2 linked regions of the Neodiprion lecontei genome follow. The protein of the gene in region 2 purifies or fractionates together with the protein of the main gene of each other region. This does not show direct contact. Links are inferred from orthologs where the notes say so. Each region holds a gene or a part of one and is shown on either strand. Other genes may lie near its edges.

Region 1 (6,683 bases), on a different chromosome or scaffold from region 2:
CAGTGTTTCACCATGTAAACGTGCCGATTGAAATAAGGTCTTCCATTATAAGAAAAGGATGCATGCAAGTATCGGATCTACATAAAATGAATAAATAAATATCTAAAAAACGTAATTACCTGCTCACAATAAAACGATATGACCATCGTTTCTCCCGGAATGTTAAAGAAATTTTAAACCACATAATTAACGTGTAACGTGTAAAAATGTATTATATATCGTAAATTAATTATTACCTACCATTGTAGATAGTGGGAATTAATAATAAATTTGTATGGCATTTAAATGTTGCGTTTATATAAATATCTACATGTATATCAATTAGCTGCAACCGTTCGAAAAGCACACGGAAGTCATATGATGCTGCCATGTCGATGCCTCGCAAATTCAAAAAGAAAAAAAAAAAAAAAACTACCAGTAAGTAGATCAGCCCACCTGCAGTTCGGAATTTATTCTTGAGTTTTAACCAAATTTCATCCAAAACTGTAGTTACCATCGATATTAGTTGACTTTTAAAATCTTGTGATAAATATATACACAGACTATACATATACATGTAAGTATAAATATTCGAATAGTTTTATTTAACAGTTATATCACATTACATCTTTCCTGTACAGGGTTACTGCAGTTGTTTATCATGAATGAACGATCTGCGCATGGTGTCTTATCATTATTGCATTTACTTATATATTGTAAATGATGAATTATTAAAGGGGGTCTCTAAGCAATGACAAGATTTATGGGCTGTTGCGTATCGCAATGCTGAGGTTGAGTGTTAATAGCTTATGAGTTTAAGTTGAAACTATAAATCGAAGTAGAAAAAAGAGTTATTTAATTATTTATTAAAAGAAGAGACTTCGCAAGCGACGGCCCATTCCTTGTCGGTCGTATAAAATGTTGAATTTGTTCGTAAATTGATTTATATCGTTGCATCCTTTTGTTATTATTCCAAGATACGTCACTAGACCAAAATCGTTGCATTGCTGAAAAGAACAAAAATTGTAGAATTAGAATTTAATTCACACAAGAAACAAAAATTCGATTTGCAATAAACTCTTGTGTCTTTTTTAACTGATTGCCGCGTTTCTTTATCTTAATTATTAATTTTATTTTTTCTTAGAATAATTCTTACTTACGTTATAAAAGTCTGCTCGAAAGTTTGCACTATTTAAAACAGGTAATCGATGTCCCAGTGAGCATGCAGCTCGCAATACTTCGTGGTTCCCTTTCAATTCCCCGCTTTGAACGGCTTCAACGTATCTCAAAACAAGTTTAACCCTTGAATTCAGCATCTTAATTGCACTGTGTTGTGCAGTTAAATGTTCTGCCACTAAGAAATAGATGTACTATTATGTCCAGGGATTGATTAATCTTCTTACGATATCATAAAGGTCTGTTTACACTTTAAGACCAATACAGAGGAGCGTCAATATAAGCCTTGTCGTTAGAAACCTGTTCCCCTACATTTTCCCGTCATATACGTCATCAGGTTTTCCTCACCAATGCGGTTGTAGCAGCCAGCGTGCATAGCATTGCCTTGGTGAAGAGTCACTAGGGGCCGCACTATTCTTGTAAGGACGAGGTAAGACTATAATGACGCTCCACTGTGAGTGCGAAATTATTTCTTACCCAATGAACTTTCGGCCTGATCGTTAGTGCACATTCTTGCTACATGATCGACTCCAATTCTTTCGGCTTCTTCCGTTGCTAATGTATATGTTAATGGCACAAATAGCATGGTGGCTTCGCCATTTACCAAATCGATCACAGACTCGTACATTGCAACAGATAATTGCTATGGAAAGGAAACGCTTTTTTGGTTTTTTATATTCTCCATATAAACTAAAATTGTATACAAAGAAGTATCAAACATATTGTTCACTGTGTATAGTAAAATTTATAATTAAAAATTGAGCCCCCTTTAAGAGGAATTTCTTCAAAGTGGAAGACGCGTTTTTACTACATTGACCTTACAATATGAATGGAATGATACCAAAAATATCTGAACACAGGATTTATCAATATATAGAAAAAATAGGCAAACTTCTCCAGACTGACTAAATTTAAAGCCAGCTAAAAATTTACCCAAGCACAGGTCACACTAGAAGATGCTATGGTAAAAAGCCGTGTGACCATAAAAAATACAGTTTCAATTTTCCTAACTTGCCTCAATTCTTTAGAATGAATATTTAATATTTCTGCGGACTGTTATACGTTCTCAGAACGTCATTGAAACCCTTCGTATGTCAGAATTTGGTTCAACATCAAAATATCTGTAGTTGACGTTTTGCGCGCAAATTTTTTCAGACTGTGCCACTGCTCGATATATGATTCTTGAAAGAGTAAAGATGCTAGTCAACTTATAAACAGCAGTTAAGATTTAATATCACTTTACTAAATCATAACTCTATTCCAGATTGGGTAATCACTTGTACTTTTATGTGGTTTATTTAGTTCGATCATACAATTTATGTACTGATTGATTATGATTCCAAATACTTGTAGTATCAATATATATAAATATCAGTTTTGTTGTAAAATAACCATAAGAAAAATATCGAAAATTAACGGCAAGCAAAAACAATTTCAATAAATTTTTGTTAGTGAACAATCATCATCATCTGTTATCCTATACATAATGCATAAAACCACGAAGGCTTACCGATATTGCTGTATAAGCATGTATACAGATGAGTAGAGTTAGCCCATAGGGGAAATTGAACGTTACTACATAAAAAATATATTACTTAATCCTCAATTAAATTCATACAACAAAGTGAATATTCCATATGAAAATAAAAATAATTCTATACACCAGATTTGAATTATAATTTAATATTGTAATATTAAATCTTAACCGTTACTTATAAACCGAATAGCAACCTTACTCTTTCAAGAATCATATGCACAGCAGTTGCACAGCCTTAAAAAAAACGTTGTTCATTGACTAGAGATACAATGATGTTCGACTAAATTCTGAAAACAATGGTCTTGAACAAAATTGTGAGATACAATGTTTTTGAATCAAATTATTAAATATGATGTTGTTGATGTCGTTCTGCTCAGTAGTAAAATTTATACATATGAGGTATTCTATACCAACTTAACCAACATTGGACGCTTACCATTTCTAATCTTGTTTAAACATTTTTATGGAATTGTACCAAATCCATAACAGTACCCCGAATTTTTTCAGATTTTTTGGACTGAAAGTTGCTTTACTTGCGTTTTTTAAAATCAACATGTTTTTGACCTTAATTTAGAAATCTGAAAAGATTCTCAAAAATCATGTGTCAGACATTAAAATTTTTGAGCTTAAACCCTGAGTGGGTCGACATTCCCTTCTTATTTTTTTTCGAGATTTCTTGAAGAAAACTAATTGAAAAAAAAAGAAGCAATTGTCATTCTTTTGTGAGAAATTTTCAGTCATTTGTTGGCAAAAATTTTAATATGTAACGCGTACTATTTAAGAATTCTTAAGATTTTTTTAAACTCATTAATTATTAACAATTTTTTCATTTGGAACAAAAATTTGGAATCTGAAAAAATTCTTAAAAATCCTGGGTTGTGTATAAAAATGTTTGAGCAGCGGCCCACAAAAGACTGACAATTGCATCTATTTTTTTTTTTTATTTAAGAAACTTAAAAAAGAGTAGAAGCAAATGCCAGCCTAATCCGGATCTAGGCTTAAAAATTTCGATACTTGACACAAGATGGTTGTGAATTTTTTGGCATATTTAAATTACGGCCAATGACATTTAGGTTTTCAAAAATCATAAGTAAACAAATTTACTCAGAAAAATCTGACCAAGGTCGGGATCCTGTTTTGGAGTTGGGACAATTCTATGAAAAGTTTTTGACCAAAATGACAAAAGGTGAGGTCTGGAAGTTGGTTAAGTTGGTGTGGAATATCCCATTTATATCTTTGGGTACTGTACCCTAAGAAATTTCCTGAAATACTTGAAACATTTTCCAACTGTAAAATTTCCACAGTATGTATTGTGAGATTTTACAGATTTCTGACCATTGCTGCTTTTCTGCAATGTCATAAATTTCATTATGTTTCTAGAACTTGCAGCACTATTTAGATCGTTGAATACACATTCTGTAATAATACAGTGATGGATTGGACATGTTTTGGAGCAGAAAATGTATGGAAAGAGATTGTTACATAGTAAACACTTACTTCTGTATGTTTACACCTCGGGTCTAACTTAAGTAGCACAGGACATTCGTTAATTTCGCATAGCTGTTTGTGTACCCTGATGTCTCTGTCTGTTGGGGCATCTCCTGTTGTGTACCACCCGAGAAAATCCATTTCACTAAACACCTGCTTGAACTGTTCTTCTTTCGTATTGTAGTAATCTCGATCAATGACAACATCGTCACCGATAGATGTAAACAAGAGCTCGAAAGAATTCATTATCTCTATGTTACGTCCCTTCTGTTTACCGATCAGTGCTCCGTAAACTGTAAGAATTAATAAATAATTAATACAAACACTATGCATTAGAGTGTAAATCATTCAGGTTTCAACATGCATCGTTCTCTTGTAATCGAACTTACAGAACTTTATTTGCGCATTATCGAATCATGTTAGATTAGGGTATATTCTGCCACCGTGATCATAGCACACCATAAACTGACTTCAGGGCACTGAAGTAAAAAGTTGTATTCTATTACACTCACCCAGTTGATCAGAGCCTTCCTGTGCCCTGAGCCTCGTCCAATGTTCACTAACATTCATTATGACGAGAGGATGCAAACTGATTGACACTGAGCCGACAGTCCCAGACGAGGCCATCACGCTCTTCACGTTACTTGTGACTGGGGTTGTATCCATCGCGCTAACAACGTTGCTTTCTTCTACCTCCATTTCACTAAACGACGGCTCGCTCATTTTGGTATATTTTTACGCTCAAACTAGCAAACACGACAGTTTTATCTATACTCTTTACTTACTGATGGCTGGTGGCTACAAAGGCGTAAATACTACAAAGTACCGTCTACGACAGCCTGCGGCGAGTTGTGAAACAATCGTTGGTTTAGACCGTTGGGAGTTAAGACTGGTTGAGACCCTATTGCCCTATTCTGTATTTATCTGAATAGCTAATTTCTATGGCAGCCTGTGCTACCAATTTATAACTTTTGAAGCGCCTCGAGTCAGCCTAGTTACCACCCAGGGAACTGACGTAGTAATGTGTGCGCATGCCTGAACGCGGGAAAAGTCAAACGTTTTATACTGCGTACGAAACTACCTTGTATTTAAAATCTGTCAAAGTGAAGAATGTATAATTGTAGTGGTATAAAAGAAATATATATTATGATCGCATACGAATTCTGCCATATGCGACCAGAAAAGTGGAAAGATTTATCGTTTTTCGAATAATAGAGGCAAAAAAGTTGATGATCTCGAGAGTAGAGTATAACGTAGCGTTTGCAGTCGCAGGGGTTTTCTGAAATATAAGGAACTTACCATGGTCCTTCGTTGAAGGGATAACTACAACGGCACTCACCATGAAACTAGATTTCGAACTAATTTTTTTCAGGCACACTACTATACTTTCTACTTTCAGAGATGGTTATCACGTTGCAAACAAAATTGTACATATGAATTTTTTTAGTTTTCCCATTTACTAATTAATTTTCCAGAATTTTAGAATTAACGCCGTTCATGGATATAAAGGAGTTATTAAGTCTGCAAGATTCATCTCATAATATTCTCTTACGTACATATATCCGGGTTATTTCTAATAATGAAGAATTCAATCAAGTGTTCGCTTATTAGTATTTACACGGTATAAAATAACGTATGAACTTTGGTTAAAACCCAGAAAGATCAGATACAGCTTTAACTAGAAGAAATCATTTGTATATACATATTATTCAGTGTACTATTGTTGGCAGCAAACAAGCGGTATTTTTGAAGTTTTCTATTACCTTTTACACGTAATCAGATAACAGGAAAAGTAAATGACTTCATTTTAAGAATTATGAGAGACAGTGGTTATTTATTAGAATATTTCATCTCAGTATAAAATACAAAGTAGATTCAACATTGCATTTGTATAGAAAGTTGTTCTTAACTAATCGTTTCGTATAGAAAACGAATCGATTCAATAATAATCGAAACTTTGAAAATTCAGATAATAATCGATTAATCTAACATCGTAAAGATTGATTCTTAAAAGAATCACAGCTTAGATCATCTTCAGATTGTGAAATTCCCTAGGGGTTTGACGCACTTTCTAGTATTATATTAAACCGTGTAACGTGCATATATTGTGCTAAACATGGCAAGAAATAATCATTTGCTACGTTTACGCACTGTCCCTGTACCATTAATGTGTATAACTGGTACAGTTTTTATGATTTTATTTAATAAAATAAAGTGCACCGTTTACGCAACACACAGCTTATTAAACCGTACATGAAAGTTATGCACAATAGCGTGTGTAGGGAACATGTGTAAAAGTATAAAGTCTCGTGTCGATAGGCCCGAATGCCTAGTGGCTAACTTGTGCCTTTTGATTTTAAAGTATCGAAATATACGCAAAAATATAATGTTGAAAATTGTGATATTTAGGTAATATTTAAGTACATTCAAAGCATAGTAAATAATTAAGGATCACTCGGTTCTTTACGGAATAGATTTGTTTGATTACGTATGTATCTACAAG
Region 2 (4,020 bases):
TGAGAATGACTTTCAAGGAGTTGGCTTCTCAGAATACTAATATATTTTGTTTACAATGGTTTATTTACTTTGGAAAATCATTTTTCCTGAACATACGTCGTTTTACAGTAACGGTACGTTGATGACTTCATCCTTATGTATTTTCAGTGATCGAGCATGCCAGCAAAATGGTAAAAGAAATTGTCATAGTAAGTTTTTTCATCAAGTCAAAGATTAGCGCAACAAAGGAATATGATAGCAAATGAAATTATGTGAAATCTTAAACCTATTTTTATAACTAAATTTAACGTACTTACAACAACTCGTCGAGGAGAGTTGCGAAGTTGGGCAAGTAACATGAATTAATAAACGCTGCAACAATCCCTAGTTTATTTTATAGAGCACTAAAACGTTATCAACGGATTTATCAACGACCGTGGCTAAGCGTTATGGAAAATTAAATATTTACCCTGATTCGGTTGCCACATTAAACAGACTCCGGCTGAATTAATAGATCATAAATAGTTCGTTTCGAACAATTTAAAACGTTAAGAATCGAGTGCAATTAACTCATAGTAACATCTCTCGTTAAATAAATATTCGTATAGATTGACAAAGGCGATATTATACATGTATATATCGTATTACACGTACCACATCATCGTTGTGCAAATTTCGATTATCACTGACACATTACACACTCTACGTAAACACTGTAAACATCGGTACTCTACAATATCATTATTACAGTTACTTTCTACTATCGTTTCGTTTCATCGCCGCGACAATTCCCGATGCACCGATGTCAAAGAACATATATATATTATTTTTTTCTTCTTTTTTTCGTACAGTGAAAGGTTCACCCAACCACGGTGCGACAGACTTCACTCAAAAACACGTGACTGCGCGGAATCTTGAACAGAGCTTAAGATTTGAATGTCTCTTACAGCGGATCACAATTTGATATATTATTGCATTTGTTTAATCTTATCTGTACCCTAGTTTGACCATTTATTAGATATGAACGGTTATCAATTGTTTCGAAGAAATATGTTAAAATATTAACCTATGAAAGTGAGAGAAGCGGTTACCTAACGCCATCGCGATTGGTCATTATAACTGTCTACTCTGCGAAAACAATGCAATCCTACAGATATGTGCCAATATATGATATATGTAGAAGAGTAAACATGCTGTACGTCATTTTCGTACGTTATTTTCGGCTGCTAGATTCGTTACACCTTTTTGACCTTGCTTATGGCCACGCTATTCCATGCATACGTGGACTAGCAAGACTGTCTACGCAACGCGAATTTATTACACTATTTTTTTACTCAACGTCAAAGTAACAGAGATTTCAATGGCGATGTTTAGAAGCGGAGTTCACGCTGTTAGTATTATTTATAAGTCTATGGAGCCACGCATCGCCAAAGTGTCTACGTTCACTGAACAACTTCAAATACGGATCTTGGAGTAAAAAATTTTTTATCCAATGAGGAGATGGTCGCAGTGGCGCTATTTTCGACTGAACCAATCTACCAGCTTTCAGCGTTCAGCCGTTAAACGGTGAAAATTTTTAATTATAAGCCTTCAACAAGGTATCTGGCCATTCGCGACGGAATCGCGTTGATTTTTTGCGATAAATGTGAGCAGAAAATAGCCGGCGAAAGTGATCAAGGTCAATTAATTTTCGTATTTGTGGTTAAAAAGACGTGAATTTAACTATATGGTGGAATATTCGCGAAGCGTGAATATAGCCAGGGGAGAGCACGGTCCGAAAGGCGAGTTATCCCCCTTGTCAAAAATTAGTAGGTTCCAATTTTTTAATCTTCTGTGATTTTGCTTGAATTTAAAAAGTATTTGTATGCCTCGCTATATTGTAGCCGAACTTAGAATCTAACATGATTAAATTATTTTCACTAAAACAAGCGAAAAAAGATGGCGAATCACCAAGGACAGGAACTCAGAAAAAGGCCTCAGCAGCGCAGTTAAGGATCACGAAAGGTTGCGATTTATCATTTTTTTTATCACATAACGGGATACGATTGTGAAAGAAATATTTAAAATAATCTTTCCCTTATTTTTATTTCAGATATAAACGAACTCAACCTGCCAAAAACATGCGGCACAGAATTTCCAGATCCAGATGACCTGTTGACTTTTAAACTAATAATCTGCCCTGACGAAGTACGTATTTTACCACTCAGAAATTCTCAGTTGTTTTCATCATCCTGTCGCTACTTGTTGCGTACCAAAATTTCAGTTAGTCAAGTTTCTACTGCAGCAACTTAGTAGCGATTCTTTAAGCTGTGCTAACTTCAGCGCAGATCGCTCATGCCTGTATCTCCTTCTGTTCTCTGTTCGTCGCTCGATTGACAAATGAGCCAAAGTATTCACCTCGCATTATAATTATTCTTAGGGTTTCTACAAAGGCGGAAGATTTGTGTTCAGTTTTAAGGTCGGTCCAAACTATCCACACGAACCACCTAAAGTAAAGTGCGAAACGCAGGTTTATCATCCCAACATTGACCTGGAAGGCAATGTCTGCCTGAATATTCTTAGAGAAGATTGGAAACCTGTATTGACAATAAACTCGATTGTCTACGGGCTTCAGTATCTCTTTCTGGTAAGTATTGAACACTCTGAATTTGCGTCTCTGAACTCAATGTGCTTACTTTCATGTATTTCCAAAACTTACATCTTGACAATATATTGGGCAAATATTTTAGGCTGAAAAGTATCGAACCAAAGAAATTGGATAAGTTAAAATAGTTTCAACCTTGCAACTGAAGTCGATCAAAGTATGTTTTGTTCACACAAAATCTCTCGGATAAAAACTGTTATTAACAGATTTAGTAAAGTCAGATTATTGCACATCTTATGGTACATTTGTTACATATATTATGCATGTAAATAAGTTTCCCACAAATCATCTACCGAAGATTTTTCCTTGAACTTCTCAGTCGACAAGGTTTCAATTCAGTTTCACTCGAATCAACTTCGGTTGCACCTTTTGAATCATTATTTTATTTTTATTGTCCATTGGAGCTTTTTTTTTTTTTTAACTAGATTGTACTAATGAATAAATCTTACAATTTTATTCTTATGCCTCTCGTTTGTTTATTTTTTCTTCATTTTCTCTTTACTTAGGAACCGAATCCTGAAGATCCTTTAAACAAAGATGCGGCAGAGGTGTTACAAAATAATCGAAGAGTATTCGAACAGAATGTGGTGAAAGCAATGCGAGGTGGATACGTAGGGTCATTTTATTTTGAACGGTGTCTCAAGTGATACACCGCCTCCTCACCAATGCTGTATACAATCCTGCAAAGACTCAGACTTAGAGGACAAATACCAAGAGACTGGAGAAATGGAGGAGAACACAGTGTTCTAACGGTTACCTGTGTGTCTGCTTTATACATATTTACGTTCTTCACGTCTTGCCAGGCCTCCAAACATTTAATCCATCAAGTATTTTATGCTTTTGGCTAATAAACTTACTTAAATCTTCACAATGTATAGTTCACTAAATAGAAGAAACCAAAAATTTCCTTGACAGGCAGTTTGCGTCGTTTAAATAACAGCAACTGCACAAGCTTTAAAAAGTGGGTAGATGCAATAAGGTGGAAGCTGCTGATCTTAGGTTTCGAATTTCTCAATAGCGATCAGAAGGACACCTTGAAAGCAGTGCTGGCTATTTTAGTAGCTGGAATATAAGTTTATAAGTGGTGCGAAACAACCGGTCGATGGTCGGGATGTAACGAAGACTTTGAGTTTTCAAAGAGCGGGGACTGTAAAAGTTGAGTAGAATATTTACATAGAAAAAAGGGCGAATGTACGATTGCATTAATTTTCAAAGTAGGATGTCCGAAAGGTGGACCTGTCCATCTTCTACATCGTCGATGAAATAAAATGATTAAAAACATCGCACGTTATTTTAACTATCTTTCGAAAGTGTGATTTGTACATCGAGCTAAAGTAGCGCAATTTTATGAACCATAAAAATTTACCTGAATACTTCCAAAGGAGCGACGATAGAAG

What was found. Proteins that work in one complex are often made in the same cells at the same time.
Region 1: the proteins of NEDD8-conjugating enzyme Ubc12 (region 2) and COP9 signalosome complex subunit 6 purify together in Homo sapiens (affinity purification with mass spectrometry; 3 studies listed by BioGRID and IntAct, counting the BioPlex papers as one, with this or other methods). This does not show direct contact. The link is inferred for Neodiprion lecontei from reciprocal best matches to the Homo sapiens genes UBE2M and COPS6.

Annotation. Positions count from the first base shown.
Region 1 is NC_060261.1:28,662,091-28,668,773, reverse strand, and holds COP9 signalosome complex subunit 6, read right to left. Parts: upstream 5,118-6,683; 5' UTR 4,904-5,117; coding exon 4,693-4,903; intron 4,474-4,692; coding exon 4,190-4,473; intron 1,799-4,189; coding exon 1,633-1,798; intron 1,334-1,632; coding exon 1,140-1,333; intron 987-1,139; coding exon 846-986; 3' UTR 558-845; downstream 1-557. UniProt on the Homo sapiens protein: Component of the COP9 signalosome complex (CSN), a complex involved in various cellular and developmental processes.
Region 2 is NC_060266.1:5,034,848-5,038,867, reverse strand, and holds NEDD8-conjugating enzyme Ubc12, read left to right. Parts: upstream 1-1,740; 5' UTR 1,741-1,880; coding exon 1,881-1,983; intron 1,984-2,071; coding exon 2,072-2,166; intron 2,167-2,398; coding exon 2,399-2,605; intron 2,606-3,129; coding exon 3,130-3,270; 3' UTR 3,271-3,491; downstream 3,492-4,020.